Linked DNA regions of Lytechinus pictus. The main gene of each other region encodes a partner of the protein of the gene in region 2 in a complex. Links are inferred from orthologs where the notes say so. Each region holds a gene or a part of one and is shown on either strand. Other genes may lie near its edges.

Evidence for each region.
Region 1: DNA-directed RNA polymerase III subunit RPC2-like (region 2) and DNA-directed RNA polymerase III subunit RPC6-like share a complex: the UniProt entries of both Drosophila melanogaster proteins name them as parts of the RNA polymerase III (Pol III) complex. The link is inferred for Lytechinus pictus from reciprocal best matches to the Drosophila melanogaster genes Polr3B and Polr3F.

The regions. Positions count from the first base shown.
Region 1 is NC_087251.1:35,557,355-35,570,688, reverse strand, and holds the start of DNA-directed RNA polymerase III subunit RPC6-like, read left to right. Parts: upstream 1-7,713; 5' UTR 7,714-7,804; coding exon of another isoform or gene 7,805-7,837; 5' UTR 7,838-7,936; coding exon 7,937-7,989; exon of another isoform or gene 7,990-8,124; intron 8,125-10,291; coding exon 10,292-10,409; intron 10,410-10,667; coding exon 10,668-10,735; intron 10,736-11,088; coding exon 11,089-11,269; intron 11,270-11,679; coding exon 11,680-11,823; intron 11,824-13,002; coding exon 13,003-13,110; intron 13,111-13,334. Other genes in the region: histone acetyltransferase KAT5-like, read right to left, coding at 337-560, 1,040-1,108, 7,653-7,713, 7,805-7,837. UniProt on the Drosophila melanogaster protein: DNA-dependent RNA polymerase catalyzes the transcription of DNA into RNA using the four ribonucleoside triphosphates as substrates. Specific peripheric component of RNA polymerase III which synthesizes small RNAs, such as 5S rRNA and tRNAs.
Region 2 is NC_087250.1:6,006,361-6,018,742, forward strand, and holds the start of DNA-directed RNA polymerase III subunit RPC2-like, read right to left. Parts: upstream 6,600-12,382; 5' UTR 6,514-6,599; intron 3,934-6,513; 5' UTR 3,922-3,933; coding exon 3,869-3,921; intron 3,347-3,868; coding exon 3,170-3,346; intron 2,125-3,169; coding exon 1,915-2,124; intron 519-1,914; coding exon 437-518; intron 1-436. UniProt on the Drosophila melanogaster protein: DNA-dependent RNA polymerase catalyzes the transcription of DNA into RNA using the four ribonucleoside triphosphates as substrates. Second largest core component of RNA polymerase III which synthesizes small RNAs, such as 5S rRNA and tRNAs.

The DNA.
Region 1 (13,334 bases), on a different chromosome or scaffold from region 2:
TTATTATTATTAATTACGCAATCAATGACACTGGAAGAAAACTTTTCAGTAATTGGCAAAATATACATGGCACACGTTGTTTACATTACCCATATGAGAAATGATAAGGATAAGTCTCCGCCGAGGCCCGGCGTCCGGGGTTAATTGAATCCATTGAAATCCTTTGGGCTTGGCAAGGCGTTTATAGACATTTTCTTGGTGTAGTAAATGGGTAAATTTGATATCATTATCAATATTTTTTTCTTTTCTTCGCCTGTTTATTTTTTTCAAAGAAAGTCTTTATTCAATATTGTTAACTTGAAACTACGAAACATAGTTACACAGATGCACACTTACATGTACCACAATCGGAGCAGATGGAGGCACCGTTGGGGGCGGTGTTGGTGCAGCAAGGGCTGGTGTGGCGAGGGCAGGTAGCTCCCTCTCAGGGGTAGATGCCCTGGAGCTACAGTTCGGTGTAAGGACCTCCTTCTGTGGAGTTTTGACTTCTTTATGCGGCATCTGGAGCTTCTCCAGGTTGAGCCTATCCAGAGTGACCCAGTCATCAAGACGCTTGTTGTCTGTAAGGCGAACAAGTAGGTCAATTAATGATGGTTGTGAAAGCTGTCAAGTATCTTTATTTCATAAACTTTTATACAATGTCTGAAGCTGCTTGCTGCAGAACAGAATGTACACACAAATAATATACATGCACTAACCCTTACATTTTCAAGGAGCTTTTATTGTGTATCTAATAACCGTTTTAAGAATGACTTCTTCAATTAACAGAGCTTAAATTCATCCAAGGTCAAGGCCTTGGATGTGGTATTTAATGGCTTCAATGCCACTTTCGCTGTACTTTGATATTTTTTTTGCCCTTTTTATTTTCCCCATCTGTGCTGAATTATAAAAATTGGCCCTTTTGAAAGGTGACTTTGCCCTAATGATATCAAAATTTAAGGGCTGAATTAGCATTGATAGACATTACATAATAAACTAGGGAGAAAAGGGTGCTTTTCATGATTGCACATCTCTACATCCCCAAAATCAAATCACTTACAGTCGATGTAATGGACGTAAAACAAGACTCCATCATCTGTGTCCTTGCGACTTATTATCTCTCCAAGTGCTGCATATAAAAGATAGTAAAGATTAAGAAAATGAAATGAAATAATTGAAAATAATCCTAATAGTAGTCTCCTTCTGTTATACATGTACATAGAAAAATACTTTATTGTCAAAACATAATGGAAAAAAGATTAAAGAGCTTGCTTTACAGACATACATGTAAGTAACTGCATGTAAAAAAATGTCTTGCTCTTCCTAAACAATTTATTCCAGTGCTTTTGCAATAAATCAGATTTTGATAATCATTTTGTCAAAACATGCCAAGTGATTAGTATCATTTTTTTTACAGGTTCAAATCCTGTCTAAAGCTTTGGCAAAGGGTCAGTAATGTGAATTAGAGTCAATTATCATATAATCTTCCAACATTACAAAAGCAGATCTCGTCATTTAATCTGTTTTCAGCTCTAAGAATTTAAATTCAGAATGTTTTCTTAAGTAGGTATGTGACTATCGCGCGATGTGATCTCAATATTACGGCACCGGCACCGGTTTCAAAACGAGCTTGGGTTGCTCTGTAAGGGGTGGCTTTAAATGGGTGTAGATTTGGCGATTTCTAGCCAATTTGGCCTATTTTCACTGATGACGTAGCTGAAAAAAATCCCCTTCGCCTCGATGTCAAATTTTGAAGATCGGACGCATGGAAGTTGGATTTGGCTCATGTGAAAGTCTAATGTTGTCTTCACCATCGTGACCGGCCCTGAAGGTAAGTTTTGACAGTTTTTAAACCTATTTTAACAGCTTGTTCATATATTTTTCTTGGTGTGTGGTGAATATAAATCGAATCTAAAAATCCGATCATTTATTTTTTACATCCTAAAAATTGATTGTCAGAAATAGCAAACTGCCACGAGAGTTGCGTGCTACACGAGCATCATGATGAGTGCTGTGTCGCCGGGAGCCGTGGCATGGGTGCACCAGCTCAGAGGGGTTATGCTAGCAGTTTGTGCATCGCATTGATTGAATTATTATTTGCTTTTGTGATCTAGAGTCTACTTGTTTATATTTATATTATTAGTTATTACATCCTTTGATGAATATGAATATACACATTACACAATTTTAGCTTGTTTTCAGTATTTTGTTGTAAGATAAATTGGATAATTGGGATGTCATTTATCATTTATTTAGGCAAACTTAGCCTGAGGTCACCCAAGAAAAAAAAAAAAATAATAACATAATTCTAGGTCCTGCATTGAATCATGTGCTCATACACAGTTTAATTATAGATTATAAAAGATATTATGTTTGTTACTGATATATATAAGAGTAGAAACTGACATCAAAATTTTGTTCAATAAAAACATCTGTTAAAGCGACCAAAAACTGGCAAACACTGGTTGACGCCATCTTTTCCCATTTACTCATATACACTGTTTTAGCCCACACGGGGTGCGTCGGACTAGCGCACGGGCGTGTGTCGAAAAATGTTACGTACGAGTGAATGGAGGAAGACGTAGATGGCGTCAACCAATGTTCGCCAGTTTCTGGTTGCTTTAATTATAGGCCCAGATTTTTTTTTTTTTTGCAGCAGTGAGATTTGAATTTCATTCTGAAAGTTTTATTTAGAAGATGTGTTGTTGCAGAAGTTCCTGTAAAAAAATCCAAACAATAAGGAAATTATATAAGTTTGTATGTGTTCGGTAATGAGTTTATGAACAATTTATATATCAATTTACTAATTGATAATTAATAATTACATTGATCTATTATTAAGACAAATATTGATATCCTTTCTCATCACCTGTTTTTTACTCAGTTTTATACTTAGAGTAAAATGAATAATTTGTATAATAAAAAAATAAAAAAAAATTTGGGTCACGGTCGGTCACACATTTTGAATGGTCGCAATGGTAAGACAATGTCAGACTCAATGGCAAAGCCAAGCTTTGCCAAACCCAAAGGCAATAATAGGCACTTCAGGTGAAAATTAGAAAAGGCTATTCCAGCATATTTTATAGGCTCACAATGAGGCTCAATATCTATGATTCACAAAACTGTTTGAATTTTCAAATTCCGATATCTAGAAGTCAAGTTATTGTCATCTTTGTGATGAAAAAACAGGGCTTTTTGTGGACAAAAGAAGATTGCGAAATCTTATTATTCTCTTTGTTTTGGGCATGGCACATTTATAATACATAGCTTATGGGGAATTGTACAAGCTTTTTATTTAAATCTTAAAGTACTCAGATTGATTTGACATACATGTATTGGCATATGATTTCTTTGGTTCAAGGGCAACTACCCCTGGACGATAACCCCCACCCCCGGACAATTCCCCTCCCCCACCCTGGACAATTACCCCCCCCCCGGACAACTACACTGTAGTCTGTACCCCTATCCAAAAATCTACACCTAACCTAATCCTATTTCGGGGGTAATTGCCCTGTGGTAGGTTTGTGCACAGGGTAAACATGACTTGATATTGATTTTCTTTGCTTGAACATTAAAAATTAAGTTTTCAATGAATATTATTTGTAATCAAAGAAAGAGAATTAAAGTAATAATCTTAGGATTTCTATCAAAAAATAAAAACAGATTGATTTCAATTGTCTATTATCTCATTATTGTCTTGTTATTGTGGTCTCAATAAAATTGTTGATATTATTGTCTTTTCATCGTTTCATTATTGTCCCAATTATTATTATAATTATAATAATTATTATTATCATGATAATTATTTTTGTTTCATTAATATTATTTTCTAAATAATGATTACAATTATAATTACTATCATTATAGTAATATTTGATCATTAGAGTAATTATTGTTATAATTATTTCATAATAATAATCATTATTGAAATAATAATTATTATTGTCTCAATAATTATAAGGCCTTAAATTATAATTATGATTATTTTTATAATTACAATTATAATAATTTTTATAATAATAATCATTATTGATGACTTATCAATATTACTGTCTCAGTAATTATTACAAGTACAATTACTTTCATTATAATTGTTATCATTATAATTATTTTATGATAATTATTATTATTGTAATAATAGTTATTATTGTCTCAATAATTATAAGGCCTTTAATTAGAATTTTGATTATTTTTATAATCATAATATTTTTATAATAATAATTATTGATGACCTTTCAATATTACTGTCTCAGTAATTATTACAATTATAATTACTTTCATTATAATTGTTATCATTATAATCATTTTATAATAATTATAATTATTGTAATAATAGTTATTATTGTCTCAATAATTATAATTACTATAATCATAATTATTTCTACAATTATATTTATTTTAATTATAAATAAGTATTACTATTATAATGATTATTATTGATATCTCATTAATATTATTGTCTCAGTAATTATTACAATTCAAATTACATCATTATAATTGTTATCATTACAATTATTTTATTATAATAATGATTACTGTAATAATTATTATTGTCAATAAATACTAGAATTGATGTCTCATTAACATTGTCTCAATTATTACAATTATAATTATTATCATTATGATTATAATTGTTATCATTATAATCATAATAATTATTATTGTAATAATAATTATTATAATTGTCTCAATAAATTATTGTCTCATAATGTCTCATCATCTCTGTTGCCTCATTATTGTCTTCTCTTATTTTTTCATAATATCTTCAAAATAATATTTAACACCATAACAAAGGTCCATAAATCAGATATCAAATTCATGAAACTCATCTCATGTATCTAAACCTATTTCTAAATTAAATTCATGAAAGGAGCTTTCTGTGCCATTCAAAAATACGACTTTCATTAACAATACCATATTCTAGACATTCAGACGCATTGCAACAAAAAAATCACTTATCAAACAAAATTCTTGAAGTTTACTTGCAGTTTTGCTCTTAATACTTATTTCACACGAATTCTACAAAATTATTTTCAAAATAACAATTTGATTTTCATAATTAACAGAGCTCAAATCGTAATTAAAAAAAATATACAACGGCTGAAACATACCGTGTCTGAATACCAAGACTAATCTCAGGCCCAACGCAGTGGGGATGACGTCACTTACAGCTGTTCGTATACGCTCAAAACAACCCTGCTCGATCGGCCGAGTCAGATTCACAAACACCTCATGACACTCAAAACTGAAGCTCATATCCGCAGGCTCTCTACGGACCAAATTTAATTAGAATTTAACAAAATGTTCTCAAATATACAATTTTATTACTGACCGAGTTTACAAGAGATCCGATGATTACAAGAAGGTGATTTCAAGCAAAGAAAAATAAATACCTGAATATTAGGTCCTTCCCTCGCATGAAGGTAAGTGATACTCCATCTTATATATTTCCGATGTTTACCGAAGATGTACAAAGCAACCGCGGGAATTTTTGACCAATCACAATCAGCGGAATAAAGGAAGAAACTGACTCTGTCTTTTCGAGCAATGCCGAATGCAACTCCAGCGCTCGGCCAAAGTGTCGAGCGGAGCGAACTGTGTGTGTTAGATATGCGCTCGCCATTCACTGCAATGCAAAAATCTACGTCTAGCGCTGTGTCCGCGCAATCGCCCGCCTGGCTGAAGTGTCTAGGCCTAGCAATAATTAAATCAGATTTTTAATATTTAAAAAATCATAACTCTCTTAATATTTGGCCTAGAGTAATGGTTAATAATACCATTTTAAATGTTTTTTTCAGCCCTTTCCAATGAGCTAGGTTACAATGTAATTCCATGATTTTTATTTTTTTTGTCACATATATGGCAGTATGTCCAAACTTCGCGCGTGTCCATACTTCGCGGACGGTCATTATTTAAAAAACTAGCCAATATCCTTAAAATCTGACATCATCAACGTGAAAAGCGACCTAAAAGTACCCTATAGTGAAAATTTCTTTAGGATGAGTTCAGTATTCATGAAAATATTGGCAAAAGATCGGCAAATTTGCCACCGCTAGCGCCCGTTTTGAAGAAATCAACAAGCATCACGATATCACCATTTTGCAAGCAGAAATCATAAAAAATGTGAGTTAAATGTGGTACTAACCGATTCCATAGCATTTTGCCATCAATCTGATATAAATATTTCACTTTTTTAGCTTGATTTTTTGTTTAAATCTCCACAAAAGCTTTGGTGCGCGAAGTTAGGTCACACTTTTTCTGAACGGTTTTCCAGCACAGCCCGCATTCGCCGATCGGAATAGAATTTTGAGATCGCGATACCGGCGAAACCCCTTGACTAGACAGGAATAACCGTCGTTTCTGGGGATTTATTCAACAATTTCTGACATTTTACTGTAATCCCCATTTACCGACGGTAGGGTGTACGTGTGGGCTCGCATGTGTTCTCATTCCCTCCCTTTTGTCAATTCACAGTCCAAAGTTTGATGTAATTTTACACATCGAATTTACAATCTAAGGATGTATAAACAACAAACTTGTAAAATTTAATATTTTAATATTTAAATACTTTAAACGATATAGATGAAAAAGGCATGAAAAATATACTTTACCGATGTTTAATTGGGTTGAACACGATAAAAATGGTCAAAATGGCAGCCAAACTATAAAATATTTACAAACGAACGTCAACAATCACGAATGTGATATCGATATTGCTTTCGATATTATACGATCTGCTCCATATGCGATCGAAACCGAAGATAAACGATACTAGTTATACTAGTACTAGTACTAGTTATAATCGCGATATATCGATTCGAGACATTAAGTTTATAACGATAATGACGTCATTCAAGATGGCAACTTGCAAGAAAAACCGTCAGGTCAGGTGAAAATGTCTTAGATGACAGATTTCTCAATCATCCAGAGGATTTTTTTCAATAACTCCGGCCCAAGGTATGCAATTACTAAATTTATTCATATTTCCCTGATAATGGAAACCATGATGAAACTTTCAATTTTGCTTAAAAAACAGTTTTAAATCGCGATCTATAAAACGCTAGTTCACTATACGTTGGCTGTAGGTACGGGGCCCCATCCCCTTCAGTCTATGTATGGTGAGTGGAGCCAACGTAGTTCAGCGGAACAACCAAAATACAGAGACTGAAGCTTTTGGTCTACCCCTTGACCTACTTTACATTTTCGTCCATGATTTTATAGTTTACGATCTTGCCGTCAATGTGGTAACTATTTCTTGAATTGGTTTTGTATAAATTATGAATATTTTGTGAACAAAAATAAGCCTGATGAATATTTTTGAAAAGTGCGCGAAGTTTGGACACCCCATCATACCTATCTTAAAGACTTAGCATGTTATTGTTAAGGCTTAAGCATCCTCTTTTTTGGCAAATTGGCAATGTTTTTATTTTTATTTAAAATGCTCTTTTAGCACTTACATGTACATGCACTTTACATATTTAGTTGGATATTACAAAGATTTTGAAAAATATTATGTCCTTAAATCCTTGGTCCATTTCATGGTTGAGAAGGGACGTGACTTTATAAACAAGACATAGGGCCTAGGTAAATAAATACAAAGAAATTTCACCAATATAGCAAACGCAAAAGTCAACACATGGGACCAAAATGAAATAAATCCAAAGAGAACTTACGCCACTCATCCGTTTGCTTCATTCTTACAGGCATGCGGCATCCTTCAACCACCAGATCTTCCTGAAAAGAAAATTAGAGTTGCGATTATAAGTTCAAATAAATAGGGCACAATAAAAATTTAAAAGAATTAATAAAAACGAGCAAAACTCACAGTTTTTATCGATGAATCATTATTTTCCGCCATTTTGTTTGTGTGTTTTCTCTCAAAATTACTCCACTGCCGACGGCTTGTCCAAAAAAATTTTCTTGTCCAACTCCAAGAAAGAAGCACAGATAAAGTAAAATGAGTGCAGGAGAAAAGAAGGAATCACCAGATGCTATGAATCTAGAGGAGAGGTATGAGCCGTATCATATATGCATTTTAGATCGATTTTTTTTTCTAATTTTGCATTATATGTTTAAATTTTTGTTTTTTTCTAGCCAAAAAGGTCGTGCTTCACTTCAGTCCCACCTGATGTCTGTTTTGTTTGCTCTGGTTTTGGAAGTTTGTAGTTGTAATATAGTCACGTATTGTATTAATACCGGACACTATTATGATTCCGGACGCGCATATTACTGCGTTCTAAAACAAATTCGTACCGTAAAACTTCCGCAATTCAATTTCACAGAGCAATACATAGAACAAGATTGCAAAAACAAGGCGAAAAATCCAACTTTTACCTAATTATCTCTCAAAATGACAGAAAATGCTTAAAAGTTAAAATATCATATTATAACATAGTTTTGTATTAACAATTGATGTATTTTCTAACGGAAATATGGGCCTGATTTGCCGAATTTCAATCTCGTCCACTCCTTCGATCGAATGATGAGGTGTGGTGTATTGTGGGTGATCGTCGATGGCTAGTTCTCAAGGTACCCGTGCGCGAGGTTTACCGTGAGTAGAGCCGTCGATCGGCAGCGCATCGATAGAACTTGATGAGCGTCACGATATGATACGAACGCGAGCATATTATTATTGGAAAGTGCCATGGAACATGCAGCTAACAAGACAAAATAAAATAAGTTATCAAACACGAATTTATTACCAACATCTGCTCAGATTCGATATAAAAAAGCAAATAATACTTAGAATTTACTCATGATATGATATAAGAAGAAAAAAATCACACAAATTTGCTCTTACATCATTATAATCAAGGATATCTTTACCCGTCCGGCGCGCGTCCGGAATCATGATGTAATTTGTCGCGCACGAAAATAATTGTTTTTCATGGAGGGGTATGCGGCAACTGCGATGCAAAGAAAATGGTTGGTAAATATAATTATAAAATAATTTTATCATATTCATAATTTTCATAATATTTGGAATAGCAAGTGTGATTTTTTCTTGATTGTATTTCCTCTAGTTGTCATTTTTAAAGCACTGAAATAAAGGTGTCCGGCAATAGGATACACTGCCATACAGCTAGTATTGCTATTTTCAATTTCACATTCATATAAAAATTAAAACATATTGGCCCGTATTCTGAAGTCGGGTTTAACTTAAACTCAGGTTTTAAGTTGTGGTTTAAGTATGGTAAGCCAATGGTTACATAAATCACTATTAACAGTAGAGATATCATATTTCAGCTCATTTGGCTCTCAAATCATTCATAATCCTGATAATTGTCTAGGAAGTATAAAATTAAAATTGATTGTCTTCATCATCGATGAATCAGGAAAGAGCACAGTAAACATACAAAACATACAACTTAATAAACATTTTGACACTTTTGGCTTCCCATAATTTTAGCACAGAGTTAGACCGTCCATGGTCTAAGTTAAACCTGACTTCAGAATACGGGCCATTAGATTTTTGGAAAAGTACCGGTAGTCATAATGTTCTTTTGATATGAAGGAAACGGACACGAAAACTTAAACTTTTGTTGTCACTTGTTTTTTTTGTTGCTATTTATGAATTTTGCCCTTTTCTGTGTAAAAAAATGTTGGACTGGAGTCCAGTCCTGGAGGCTGGACCTGGAATCTGGATTGTGAAAGTTGCATTGCAGTTGCAATGAAATTATCTAAATTATAAGACCACTTCTAGTACCAATGAGGTCAAAAGTGACTCAAAACGTAACCTATTGACCTCATAGTCAACAATCGTACATATATGGGGAGGTGCACTTGTAGAAAGTCGCCTCCCGTGGCAGTACACAAATGCATGACGACTAGTTTTTTTTTTCGTTTAGATATGAACTTCCTTGAGTGAAATTATTATTGTTTATTGCAATTTAGATATTACAAATTATATCTAAGGTAAAACTTTTTATTAAATATCTGTGGATTTTGTACAATGGTACTTGAAAGTCTTACTACGCTGGCAGCTTTTTTCAACCTTTTTTTAGGTCCCAAAGACTCCCACTCACTGCCTCCTACTAGTCCTAGAGTGTATAAGACTAGAATAAAATACAGTCAGTGTCACTTAATCTCTCTCTTTTAGTCCAGGCAGATAATTTGGCATTATTTGATTTGAAGGCTTATTTATTTTGCTGTCAATACCTGACATAGTCACTTTTTTATAAATGTGAATTTGAAACAGTTGATTTTCCATTATTTTGAATTTACATTGTATCTCAAGACATTATGGTCTATCTCATCAACAGTAACCAATTAATTTGAACTTTTGTAATCTGTTTTCTTGTTCAAATTACAGAATCCTGGAACTATGTAAAGGAGAATCAGATGGTATTCGAGATTCGGCTATTCAGAAGCAACTTCCAAACATTGATGCTCAACAGAGAGTATCGGCTGTCAACAGACTTCTTTCATCAGTGAGTTTCTTTTTTCACCCCCCCTCCCCCGCGAAGGTGGTTGTCAGAGGCATTCATTATATTTTGGAGTCATTGTGTTGCTAATCTGAGAATATATTCTCAGTTAAGCAACACAATGACTCCAAAAGGTATACCTTCAAAGGTATACCTTCAAAATAAATATGAAAAACATAATTTTGATTCAGTAATTCCTATTTGTTTACAATTCAGAGCATATTTGATGAAGAAATCTAATTTGCATCCTTTTCTTTTATCTAGGGTAAAATAGACTTGGTGAAGACAAGCACTGAATTGCTGTACCGTTTGAAGGATCCTGGTGTTGTAAGGTAATTTCCATTCATTATTCCTTGAAATGAATGAACTTAAGTGTCACTATTTGACTTGGACCAATGCTGTCATTTCCTGGTAATTCGTATAAGGGTTTCATGTGATAAATGAAATATTTGGTCGATGCAGAAAAGACTGGTTTATTGTAACTTGTTATTAATGGGAGGGGGGGGGGGGGTGAATACTTAGCCAGGATTCAAATCTGCATTGAAAATGTATCTTATCATTTGATAAATGAAGATGTATACAACGTGATAGCTGTCATCATCATTTTATTATATGAGAACTATTATTTTATGTTATATGTTAAAATTTTGTTAAATGATTACTGTTGCTTATATTATTTTTGTAGTAAAATCAAAGGAGCTGATAATCAGGAACGTCTTGTATATCAGATCATCGAGCAATCAGGCAACAAGGGAATATGGACACGAGATATCCGATTAAAGAGCAATCTACAACTAACTCAACTCAACAAGATTCTGAAGAATTTAGAGAGTAGGAAACTCATCAAGGCTGTCAAGTCTGTTGGGGTAGGTGTTTATTAACCTTTTGGTATGCTAATGTTGACATTTTGCTCATGCAATCTATTGCAATGATTAGTTTTCTCCCTTATCTTTAAGCTGGATAAGCTAATAAATGTCTATAGCCCCTGGATAGCATATGTGCATTATTATTCTGTATCAGTGGTGCAGTATGGAAATCTAGATTCAAACAAAATATCACAAATATAATCAGTCATAGTAGCTGACCAGTTTTAGACGACATAAATTACTATAGGGCCTGTTAGGTCAAAGTAGAGACCATGGCCAAGCAGGTACTGGAACTCAAAACCACGCAAGTCCAATGCTCTAACCACTAGACCATGATATGATCCATATTATGGGTTGGATTATGAAAAAAATTGTACATTCCACAAATTTTCCCTTCATTTAAAATCCAGGCAGCAAGGAAAAAGGCATACATGCTCTTTAATCTGACCCCTGACCCCTCAGTGACCGGCGGAACATGGTATAGTGATCAGGAGTTCGAGTCAGAATTTGTAGAAGTCCTGAACCAACAGTGCTTCAAGTTTCTTCAACAAAAGGTTTGTTTGCTCTCCTGCAGCAATCTGTTTATTTTAGTAATTGAACTTCACTTCCAACAATGTCTTGCTTTTTTTGTGAGAGGGGAAAAAGGTAAGCCTCATACAATTTAGACTTTTGAAAAGGCTCCATCATGGACATAATTGTGTTTGTTCAGGATTACACAGCAACAACGAAAATGGCTGAGTGGCATTTCTTTTTAAAGTTTTTATTTGAATCCTGATATGCTGTAATTCATCATGATGTCATCCCTTTGAAATCCACCTTGTAAACATCCAGCAAACAAAACATTTTCAGAATGTTTAAGAAATGATTGTGGACATTCAAGCAACGTTTTCAAAATGTGTCAAGGCTTTGAAAACTGTTTGGACATTTTGAAAACTTTTTAACGATAGATTTTTTTTTTCTTCAAATCAATTCAACACATTTGATAAAAAATAATCACAAGTCAGGAGATAATTTACAATTTTGTGTTAACCACTTGACTGCTATAGGCTGTAATGCGCACTGACCCCCCTTGTGCTACTGAATGGGACTAACAAGTTGGATCTATTTGGGACGACAACCGACAGCAACTTGGGGGAAAAATTGTAAATAATCACATCACTTTCCTCATCACTATTTCCAGTATCCATACCAAAAAATCATCCTCCCCTTCTGACACAGATCTTTCACTAGATTTATTACTCCTATCGTCTAAAGTTTCGTCAAAATCCTTTCGATTCACTTCTCCACTGCGAGTCGCCATTTTGAACTGAGTGCCGTACACTATCACTATGGAAAAGTGAATACAAACATTTATAAATCACTGCAAATGTTTCGATAACTTTTGTTGAATAGCGCCATTTGATATACATGCGCTGTTTTCATCGGAGGGGTGTTAACAGTGCGGTGCTGACGCCTCAAACAGAAGATAGGTCAAGCACGTAATATTACGTGCCCCGCACAGATCGCACACTCACCCAGCACATAATATTACGTGCTACGTAGTCAAGTGGTTAAAAAGGAGGAAACTGAAGTGTAAAGAAATTATCCATTGCATAACAATACAAACAAATTCAACCACAATATATTCATATTGTAATTAATATTTTTGTTGTACAAGCTTTCATTTTATAGACTTCATTTATATACTTCAAATGAGATATTATACTTCGCTTAATTGTGATTTTCTCTCACAGGTTGAAAGTGTTTCAGCCCTACACCTTGATCCATTACTGAAAAGGAATAGATCATACGTTACACCAGAAGAGGTCTGGAAATTCATCACCGAGCTTCGGATCAGCAAGGTATAGGAGCTTGATTTTTTTCCCCCTTGTAATTGAATTGATTTCATTAGTGAATTTACTGCAGTGATAAAAGTATTGATGAAATGAATGAATTAATAAATAAGTAGTTTGCTTTATAGATTACTTTATAAACAAAATCTTATGATTCGTGGTGAAAATAGTGAAAATGGATTGAAGAAATGAAATGTCACTCAACTTTCGCTCCTTCTTTGAGAGCACTCTAG
Region 2 (12,382 bases):
ACAATAAATAACTAATAATACTAATAATGAAATTACATTACAACAGCACTTAAAAATATATCTATCAACGGGGACTGGTGCCTGATCTTAATGCCCTGTTCACCCGCAGTTTAAGGAACTTGCCCAGAAGGCAATCTGGCAGGTTCATAACTCACAAGGGCTCTAAAAACACCAGGCATAAGCTAAACCTTAGCAAAAAAACTAACTTACGAAAGAGAACTTAGCGTAAATATTTAAGCAAAAAAAATCATATAAGGAGGGAAAAAAAAATCAATGAGCAAATAAATGTGTTTTAGGCAGAGATTTAAAAGTTTTAAACTTGTCAGTGGGAAAAGCACAGTACAAATAATAAGTAATAATAATACTAATAATGATTGGCATTTATATTTTAAAAAAAATGCACATAGAAATTACATTCAAGTATCTGAACTCCTACCTCTGTGAAAGTATTGTGTTTCAGGTAATGCCTGCCTTTCTTCACGATCACCACAGTGCGACTTTTCCTCTCGTGCGTAGAACTAAAAAAAAAGAAACATACAACAGGAAATGATTAAGATACTCAATTTTGGGACTGAACCATTGTCTTATGATGGGGTTTCAAATTACTTTGTCAACCTCAAACACATAGCAATAGTCTTTAATGCTCTATATCTTGTCAATTAAACCAAAAATAAATAATCATGTTTTAACTTTAAACAGTAAATGAGTTGAGGCCTGAAAGTAGTAAACATTGTCACCAAAAGTTTAGTGGCCATTGATTTTTTTTTCAACAATGAGAATTAAACTTATAGTTTGTTTTGATGTTATTTTCATGAAATCGAGTCCCTTACAGCACTTACATTATAATCTTTATTATTAATTACATATTAGTCAGCTATAGCAGCTATAGACAGAGATTACATGTAGGCCTATATCATAACATTTTCAGCAGGTTCTATGTTTGAACAGTGCTTTTGTATTAAAGGTCAAGTCCACCCCAGGAAAATACTGACTTGAATAAATAGAGAAAAGTCAAACTAGCATAGTGCTGAAAATTTCATCAAAATCGGATGTAAAATAAGAAAGTTATGACATTTTAAAGTTTCTCGAATTTTTCACAAACAGTGATATGCACAACTAGGTGAGTCAGTCAATGATGTCCATCACTCACTATATTTTTTTGTTTTTTATTGTTTTAATTATACAATATTTCATTGTTTATAGATTTGACAATAAGGACCAACTTCACTGAACCATATAGTATTAAACAATACTAATTCCAAATGTTCAGGGAGGAATTAATCGTTGTCTCACTTGACATTGAGGAGAAAATTAGAATATTTCATATAATGAAATACAAAAGAAATAGTGAGTGGATGACGTCATAGACTTCTCATTTGCATACCAGCCAGGATGTGCATATAACTGTTTTGTGAAATTGAGCAAAACTTTAAAATGTCATACCTTTCTTATTTTACATCCTATTTTGATGAAATTTTCAGTGTTATTCTTGTTGGATTTTTCTCTTTTTATTCAAATCAACTTTTGTTGGGCTGGACTTGTCCTTTAGATAAAAACAGAAATATGCATATATTTTAATTTGATGTAAAATCTCAAAGTTTATCCAATAAAACATTTCATTTCCTTACATACATTGTAGTAACTGCTTCAGGACATACACATTCATATTTTTCTTTTATAAATGAATTGGAATTATATGACAGTGACATGCGTTAGTGCAATTAAGTGTCATCATTAATTGTCACAGCTTTAAAAGGCTAAATACAATTTCCTCATATCGTAATATTTGTCAGATTTTTTTACAGCAGTTCAAACTGAAATATGATAATTGGTTTGATATAATTTCCAATTGTATTCTCTCTTGTGAAACCAGGGCCATTGAGCAATATTGACAATACACATGCAAAAGCCTACCTGGTTACATTGCAGGACACAATGCCTTTCCGATCCACTTCCACTATCATCCTGTTCTTTGAGAGCTGTTCTTGGATCAGGATGACCTTTTCTGTCCCTCGGACGATGAAGTAGCCCCCAGGGTCAAGAGGGCACTCGTTCAGTTTGGCCAGCTCGGCCTGAGATTTGCCGGTCAGCACGCAATTGGAGCTCCTCAGCATGATCGGCATCCTGTAAGAATAATAGATGAAATTGATTTTTAAGTTTGATTGCAATTATGTGTTTTTAGGAGGGAAAACATTCCAAGGTCAAGAGGGCACTCGTTCAGTTTGGCCAGCTCGGCCTGAGACTTGCCGGTCAGCACGCAATTGGAGCTCCTCAGCATGATCGGCATTCTGCAGGAATAATTGATTTTTAAGTTTGATTGCAATCATGTGTTTTTAAGAGGGAAAACAACCCCTGGTCAAGAGGGCACTCGTCCAGTTATGCCAGCTCGGCCTCAGACTTGCCAGTCAGCATGCAACTGGAGCTTCGCAGCATGATCGGCATTCTGTGGAAATAACAGATATAATTGATCTTTAAGTTTGATTGCAATCATGTGTTTTTAAGAGCCTGAGGGAAAACAACCCCTGGTCAAGAGGGCACTCGTCCAGTTAGGCCAGCTCAGCCTGAGACTTGCCGGTCAGCACACAATTGGAGCTTCGCAGCATGATCGGCATTCTGTGGGAATAACAGATATAATTGATTTTTAAGTTTGATTGCAATCATGTGTTTTTAGGAGGGAAAACAACCCCCGGTCAAGAGGGCACTCGTTCAGTTTGGCCGGCTTGGCCTAAAACTTGCCAGTCAGCACACAATTGGATTTTCGCAGCATGATCAGCATTCTGCAGGAATAAGAGATAAAATTAATTTTCACAACTGCAATGTTTTCAAAAGTGGAAGGGTCAAGAAGGCATTTGTTGATTTTGGCCAACTTGGCCTGAGACTTGCTAGTCAGTACGCAATCAGACCTCTAAAGCATAATCAGGAATAAGATATAAATTTGACATATTAATGATTTATTGTTGTGTTTTCCAAAATGAACAAGGGTCCAGAGGCTCATATCATAAACATTTACAATTAATTATGGCAATGTTGATTTTCATCCAATGGTGTTGAGCCCTGTTACCATGGTAATTACCAATAAAGTCAAAGCTACAACAGTAATTGTGAAATGGCCCCTGGAAAACGCCTATGGGGATTACAGAATTCTATAATCAATGTTAATAAAAAATACCTTCCGATCGGCAAGTTATTTCTGATAACCCTCTGCTGCCCTCGTGTGTACTCTATGTCGACAGTGATGGGGGCGGAGTAAGTCATGTCACGTAGACGACACTCATGCGGAGAGGTTGGCTTGGTGATGTTGAAACTCTCCTCGACGTCCGGGCTACCAACGTAAATGTTTAAGTACCTGTGGATGAAAGAAAAAAAAGACCTTGGAGAATGGTGTAGGGATAATGCACATTACCAGGGGAATTTGTAAGAACTGTATGCGTGAGATTTTGGCCCCGTCTTACAAAAAGTTACGATTGATCCAATCAATCGTAACTCTATGGAAATCCATCAGTGTCATAATTTTTTCAACAGAAAATTTACAAAAGTTGTAAACAAAGGAGAACACACCATATTGTCAAGAAGTCAATGAATCTATGAATATACATCATATCTAGCAAAAATTTTTGAACATGCATTTTACATATTTACTTAACTGGCTTTCCATACTTGCGAATGATCAGATCAATCGCAACTCTTTGTAAGACGGGCACGGGGGCTACTAAAAGATCTCATGATGAAAGTAAACAATCAAGTATATATTCTACGTACTAAGAATATTGCTAGCTGATAAATCAAAAGTCAATCATATGATAAACTGCTCACTGGTTGTGATGATAATGACTATGATAATTGTATGTCTTTATGACATAGTACTCACTTCATGTAGAAAGTTTGGTCAGCATCACTGGTAATCTTCTCATTTGCTTTCATTATCTTCTTGATCTGTAAATGTAATAAACAAATAATAAGTCTTAGATTTATTTTTGGTTCCCCCCCCCCCATTCTCATTCGGTTAAGGTTTAGTTAGGTGTTTTTTTTTTTTGTTTTTTTTTCTCATTGAATTTGTGATTATATGATGTTTTTAAGATTTCTTTAAGTACAATTGTTGTTATGGGTTGGTCTCACACAAGGTTTCATCCTTTTTGGTCATTACCTTCCTCACTTTCTTTAAAGTTGATGTTCATTGTACTTACATTGTCTATTTTTTATGTATTTTTATCTTGATCTCTTGAGGAGAAATAAATGAAACTTGAAAAAAAAACTTGAAACTTGAAAATAGTATAATACTAAATGAATAATGAATATGAATGAATAAATGAATAATTGAATAAATAAACAAATAAATGAAAAATAAATAAATAGATAAACAAACATATAAATAAATAAAGTAAATGTGAATGAGAATAAATGAATAAATAAACACAAATATAAATGAATAAATAAAACAAGAATAGAGGCCTACATGGGGATATGATAATCTCACCTTGCTCATAAAAAAATGCAAACTTTAAAGGAGAATGAAACCTTTGGAACAAGATAGCTTGTGTGAAAACAGAAAAATCAAAGAAACGGATCAACGAAAGTTTGAGAAAAATCAGACAAATAATGAGAAAGTTATGAGCTTTTGAATATTGCGATCACTAATGCTATGGAGATCCTCACATTGGCAATGCGACAAAGATGTGTGATGTCACTCTTGAACATCTCTCCCCATTACTTTAGTATATATTTCACTTAAATTGCCTCTTTTATTACATCTATCAGTAGAACATTTATTCTTTCTGTAGGTGGGCATGTAAAACAGATTTTTAAAGAATACATCATGGATAAAGAGTTTGTATAACCATACGAAAAAGCAAAAAGACACATTTTCAGGGTATTTCATAGTCCATCAAAGGGAAAGTTGTTCATGTGTGACATCACACTTCCTTGTAGCATTAGAGATTGTAATATTCAAATGCTCATAACTTTCTTATTATTTGTCCGATTTTTCTCAAACTTTCTTTGTTCGTATTCTTTGATTTTTCTGTTTCGACACAAGCCTACTTGTTAAAAGTTTCATAAACTTCTTAATCCTTGTCCAAATTGGATGATATTTTCAGGACTTTTATATCTGATTTTACCTTATCTGTTGAAATCATTTCTTTTATTCAGTTTAGAGTAGCCCTTCAGAGCTGCCAACCTGAACAAGAACATTACAGTATTTTGTATAGCTGAAAATCAGTATTTTGGGTTATTTGAAAGAAATATATACCAGTCTACAGGAAGAACCATAAAACTGAAACTTTAGAAATCAGTGTTTTGCATGAAATCACCAGTATTCTTCTCATTTTTCAGTACGAAATACTGAAGACCAGTACTACTTGGCAGCTCTGTTTCCTTTAAAGGTCAGGTCCACCCCCAAAAATGTTGATATGAATTAATTGAGAAAAATTAACTCCCATAACGCTGAAAATTTCATCAAAAGCGGATGTAAAATAGAAAATTATGACATTTGAAACTTTTGTTTATTTTTTCACAGAACAGTGATATGCACAATTCAGTGACCTGCAAATGAAACAGTTGATGATGTCCCTCACTCACAATTTTTGCTTTTATTGTTTGAATTATATATTTCATTTTTTACAGATTTGACAATTAGGACCAACTTGACTGAACCATATAGTAATAATCAATGCTAATTCCACCTGCTCAGTGAGGAATTAACTGTTGTTTCACCTAACAATGAGGAGAAAATTATAATATTTAATTTTTCATGTAATAAAATACAAAAAAAATAGTAATGGATGACGTCATCAGTCCCTCATTTGCATACTGACCAGGATGTGCATATAATTATTTCGTGAAATTAAGCAAAAGTTTAAAATGTCATAACTTTCTCATTTTACATCCGATTTTGATGAAATTTTTAGTATTGTGCTTGTTGAATTTTTTCCTTTTTATTCAAATCAACTTTTTTTGGTTGCTTTAAACTTGTCCTTTAAATTGGCTCAAGAGCCAGATAAAGCCTCCCACCCCCCCCAGAAAAAAATTGCCTATACCTCGATATTCGTTAAGCCGAAAACGTAAAAGGGTTCATTAATCCGAACATTTGTGGCGTTATTCCGAAGGTTCGATAATCCGAAAACGAAATAAGGTTCGATGTTCCGAAGATTCATTAATCCGAAAACGAAATATGGTTCGTTGTTCCGAAGGTTCGTTAATCTAAAAACGAAATAAGGTTCGTTGTTCCGAAGGTTTGTTTGTCCGAAAACGAAATAAGGTTCGTTAATCATTTCGTTTTCGGACTAACGAACCTTCGGAATTACGAACCTCATTTCGTTTTCGGAATAACGAACCTTCGGAATTACAAACCTCACTTCGTTTTCGGACTAACAAACCTTCGGAATTACGAACCTTATTTCGTTTTCGGCCTAACGAACCTTCAGAATTACGAACCTTCGGAAATACGAACCTTTGGAGTAACGAACCTTTGGAATAACAAAGCTTCAGAATTACGAATGTATGCGTTCAAATACTTACCTCCACATTAATGAAGTAGTTGAACGAGTCAATATGCTGGCGGACCAACCCTCTCACCTTCAGGAAGGCCGGAAGAAGCTTCCATTTATCCTTTGAAAAAAAAAATTAAAGATACAATGAAACATCATCAGAGTGTCTGGTAAATGGTCACTAACGTTTTATGCTACAGAGGCCAGGGGAGTGTTTCATTAATATTTTCATCCGACATGTTGTCAGAACTTTTCTTGATTTTGATTGGCTGAGAAGCACTGTCACTGTGATAACTGTCGGATAAAACGTCCGACATGGTCTTTCATAAAACGCTCACCTGGTGGGTTTTTCGTAAAAAATTGTGAATGACTTTATGCATGACTTGTGACCCTTTCTTGTGCTTACTGATATAACCCAAGTAGGGGCAGCGGAATGGTTTGAAACTGGGGGTGGGGGTGCTATGTCAAAAGTTGTGGTAAAACCAGATGGTAACTTTCACTATTTTGTACAAAGTTTATTTTTAAGTGGGGGAGGGGGAGGGATAAAGCCCAACTAGCCTCCACCCCCACCCCCAGTTGCGCGGGCCACTGCCTATGTACATAGCTGACTTGAGACTGGAACCTCAAAAAAACAAAAAGTTCTCTCCTTCTACCCCAGTCTCGATGGCCGATCGAGACTGGGGTAGAAGGAGAGAACTTTTCTGTTTTTTGAGGTTCCAGTCTGTGCCTCGATGTCAGGATTCTACCACTCGATAGACTAGACCTTCATCCATTATATTATAATCGTGGTAAGTGCATAATTTCTGTTTTCACAATTTATCTTGCTAGATATTTTGACCATAATCTACCCTTGTCCCGTGAGTATGGGTAAATACACGGTGAGCTCCTGGGTTAAAATGAATACTGACTAAAATTAAAACTGAGCTGTGTCAAAAAACCAATCATTAGGGTGTCTGGAGAAAAATATTATTTTTCTTATTTCAAGAAAATATCACATTTTCTTTGTGAATTTGAAGAGAAATGACCTTCAGCCTGACAGAAATGTAACATTTTTGAAAAAAATCTGATTATTGGCTACAAAAAAGAAGAATGAAATTAGGTCAATTTTCAGCATTTCTCTGCCATAGACTCGGTGGTCACCCTCCTGGGCTTCAACCCTGCAATGACCAAGCAAATGCAATCTATAATTAGAGCATCGGTGGTAGCATTTGTCTCATCCACCAGCGCTAACATCTAGCCAAACTAGCCAACAAAACAATTACCTAGCAGTTTTTCTACCTTTGAGTTCTCAACACTAAGTGTCTACCGAGGAGACTACTAGGGCGTGAAACAGGCCCAAAACGAACAACAACAACAACAACAAATGCCATAGACTGTGTAGTTAAGAAATGGACACACACAAATCCAAATTTTTAGCTTCCGAGAGCTGTTATAAATTTATTATTAATGCCAAAAACTTGTCCATAAAGAGTCCAATAGGATTTTTTATGCTCTTTCTGATGGTATGATTTTTATAAAGATTTGGAAACCAGATCACATTGAAAAATTGCGACAAAGTGAAAAAATTGTGCAAAACAGAAATTTCATTTTCCCATAGAAAACGCATGGGGAAATGGCAATCTCAACACACACAAAAATAAATAAGGGTTTGCAATTTATTTCAAAATCCGTAATTCAAATGATCATATAAACTTGTCCTTCCTGTCAAAAGAAGCCCCTGAATTTTCTCTTTCCATACATGCCAAACACAAGTTAATCATCAATTCAGATCACATGCCCACGTTTTTCTAGTAGCCTGAACTTCCCGAAAAAAATGTGCCACATTTTCCCCTAAATCAGCCTGTCTTATGCTGACACTTTTCAGTGTGGCATCAGACACCCTACAAACACTCTAGGCGACACCCCAATACTTACCCGTGCTAATAAACTGGGACTCCACTCACGTGCATTTGGGCCGCCCTAGCTTAGAACTAAGCAATATTATCGAGAAATTGTTACATTGTAGTCATGAAATATGTTCTATTAAATAAATTGATAATGTTTAATCGGTACTCACTGGTTCTTTTGTTGCATTTTCAGACCATTTCTCACAATTCTTCGTAAATATCTGCGGCAAATTTTGTCGCCATAGACAGCTTAACATCCATCTTTATTGATAAATGGAGCGCCCTTTACGATAGTTGTTAATGCCGCGGAGAAATCGTTAGGCATTTTGGCCTGTGTTCAAGGCGTAGCTGTTCTATTTTTTTTTTATAGGTATGAGATCGAAATCACAGCGAGTATTTACACTCTTCCATAATGATTCCGAAAGGGAGGCGCAACACCCCCCACCCACAGGGGCGCAAATTCCAGGGGAACATGTCCCCCTCACCTAGAATAGTAGGGGGACACATTATGAAATGTCATCCCCCTACTATTTTGGGTCTTATCATTCAAAATCGAAATAAAATATGTATTTTGGAAGAGACAATCTTACTTTTGGGGTGCCCTTTTTTTTTGCTTGTTTGCTTATCAAATTTCTTTTGGTCAAGATGACCTTCTTTTTGGGGTGATAAACCTTCTTTTTTGTTTTTGTTTGTTTGTTTTTTTCTTGTCAAATTTTCCAGCCCCTGGTCCCGGCTACCTTTAGGGAGAGATTTCCGCCCTTGCCTAACAGTACACTTGATATTGTTTGCGAATCTGCGTGGGCGTCGGGGGCTGGGGGATGAGGAAAAGCGGTGAGACGAGAAAAAAAAATAGAAGGAAAAAGAGGACAGAAAAAAAGTGAACGAAAGAAAAATTAATGGAAAATAAAAGGGAGGAGAAAATAGTGAGAAAAGTGATGGGTAGGTCGAGATTTTATGTGTCCGTGCAAAAAGAAATGAGCAGAGGTTGAGATGTTGTCTGTTTGGGCAAATGTCTGTCTGTTTGTTGGACTGGCGCCTGTTGCAAAAATTATTAAGCTGATGGAATCAGAAAGTTCCAACTGCTTCATGTCATACCGACAGTGACAGGATTAGGCGGTTGTATATATAAATCACGCTCTAAAACTGTGTTCTTTATTAAAAAGTTGTCCTTCATATTCATTTTCGCAAAAGAATATCAAGTTTTCAATTAATTGTCTATAGTTATCCTGTTTATGATAAAAATACTTAGAAATTGGGTTAGGTTAGGGTTATCAAATTATCGGGGCAGAAAATATATTTTTTCAGTTCGCGCGTCGAGCTGGCATTAGTGATCAGTGAGATTATGTTTTTAATGACATTCATTCTATTCACAGCAATATATTATTAAACATAGCCGCATGAATTATAGATAGGTCTATAGTTATCAGGTGAATAATTTACCGCTACACACTGATCATGTGGATACTGTTTTGTAAAGGGGAATTTCACCTTGATAAAAAGATTGTGAAAATATAGGCCAAATAAAAATAATTTCAAAACATCGGTGAAGGTGTTATTAAAAAAAAATGGAGTTAGTAGAATTTCGAATGCTTGATTTGTGACGTCATAAACGAGCAGTTGCTCAATATTCTATGTAATACAAAATGCAAAAATTTCCCATTTTTAATGGTCCGTAATGACCCACTTTTTTCTTTTTGGAGAGAGTATGAAGTTATCTATTGATATACTGAATGTACAATAAAAGTCATTATCACGTATTTCTTGACATTTCATTTACTTTTTACCATAATTATATCCGATATAGCTGCTCGCAAAGGCCTACGCCGTCACAAATAATTATTTAAAAAATCTCACCTTTAATTTTTTTTTGGTGGGGGATGGATTTTTCCTGAACGCATACCAATTTTTCAAATTATTTTTTCTGCTATTTTCATAATTAACTTTAAATAAATTCACCTATGCACTACTTAATTTTTTCAAAGACAAAATAACAAAATTACATCTAGTCTTCATCATCACCATCATCACCAACTTCATTCTCATCATCATCACCACTACCACCATCATTATCATCATCATCATCATCATCATCATCATCATCACCGCCACCATCACCAACCCATCATCATCACCAAGATAATTTTCATCATCATCATCTTTCTTTTTTTTTCTTTTTTTTTCCCCTTCCCTTCTTCTTTTTTTCCTTCCTATTTTCCTCCCTTTTTAGAGGGGCACACCACCAAATAAATATGTTTGTTGTTGTTGTATATAAGTTGGCGGATGCCTCATGAAATGAAATAAAAGAGAAAATAAGGAAATGGAAAAAGTAAGAAGAAGGATAAGAAGAAAAAAAGAAAGCCAAACAAACAAGACAAAATAATATCAAAATTTTGTAATAAAGTCAGTCAGTTTAATAATTATGTTTTCAATGAAATGAGACATAAAAGAATTGAAACAAGTAAAAAGGGCTACATCATAGTTAAAAGAAATAGAGGGAAGCTCCGAGACAATAAAAAGTGTAAAAAAAATCAGAAAAGACTTTGAAACACTCTGAACACGAGTATAATATAAAAAAAATTGGGAATAAGCGAGGACAAGTAGGTGAGGGACCCCCCCCCCCCCCTCTCTAGTTATTTACTCAAACTCGCATATACAAGAGAAGAAATTCTTACTAATCAAAATATTGCGAGCAAAAAGCATGAGCTGACATTTTTTTTAATATTCAAAACTGATAGAGAGACACATTTTGAACAATTCATGAAACATAATAATCATTCATTATAGTTACCAATCGGATTGTGACAAGATCTGAGAATTAGAAATTCATTAAAAGCATAAAATTGTATAACATTAAAATAAGACGGGCGCAACGCATGAGCTAAAGCTTTATATACCAATTAAAAATTTGGACATTTTTAGCGCTTTCGGTAGTCATGAAAAAGATTCATATTTCATGAAAGCTCAAATCCCGAGGAGGAATATTTTTTATTAATTGACTTAAAAAAGGCTGTTCTAATTAAGCCCCATTTAATATTTGATTACAAGTCTCGTTAAACAGTAAAAGAGGAAAAAATAAAGCATATTGTGTTCCTCAATTCTCTTTCTCTTTAACCCTATTTTTTTTTTATTTTTTATTTTTTTTTTTTTGGGGGGGGGAGGTATTTTGGTTTAAAAAAAAGAGAAAAAACGATAATTGCTGGCTAGTGGGTGTATAGTGGTAGGGACACCCCGCCCCCCCCCCCCCCCGTAGTTACGCAAACATGGGACCAAATGATCCTACTTGTTCCAAGGCGAAACTTGTGCAATCAATTAAATGTTATTTTTGAGAAAATTAAAGCTTGCGCTGTTTAAATTCAATCTCTTTTACCTAAATTTGCGATGAATGCTAGCATTATGAAATATATAATTATCAACGTCTGGCGAAAAGAATAACCAACCGATCAGCTGACGAGAACGCGTATCACGTGATCTGCATATCAGCTTCGATCGCGAGTCAGACGTGAAGAGCAACTGGCAATAAAATCTGGAAAAAGTCGTCAAAATGTAAGTTCCCCTTCATTTCTTTCAATTTTTTTTATTGCTAACAATGCTTTAACTTTCTTAAACAAAAATTTAATGAATAGACAGTACGATAGCTCGTACTTGTGTTATAATACACAAATAATCATCTTCACAAAGATTTCTGACACAAAATACTACAGATGTCGCCTATGAGGTCCATACATGTAATGTTTGGACCTCATTGGTACCACTCCTAGTACCAATGAGGTCCAACATTACATGTATGGACCTCATAGGCGACATCAGTAGTATTTTTGGTTAGAAATCTCTGAGAACAGGATATTTAGGCAATTATATCACAAGTACAAGCTATATTCCTTTCTCTTATTTAAATTATAATTTTATAGTGTAAATGCATCGTTAGCAACAACAAAAAATGAAAGAAATGAAGGGGAACTTACATTTTCACGGCTTTTTCCTGATTTTCTGGGCAGCTGCTCTTCTCTTCTGACT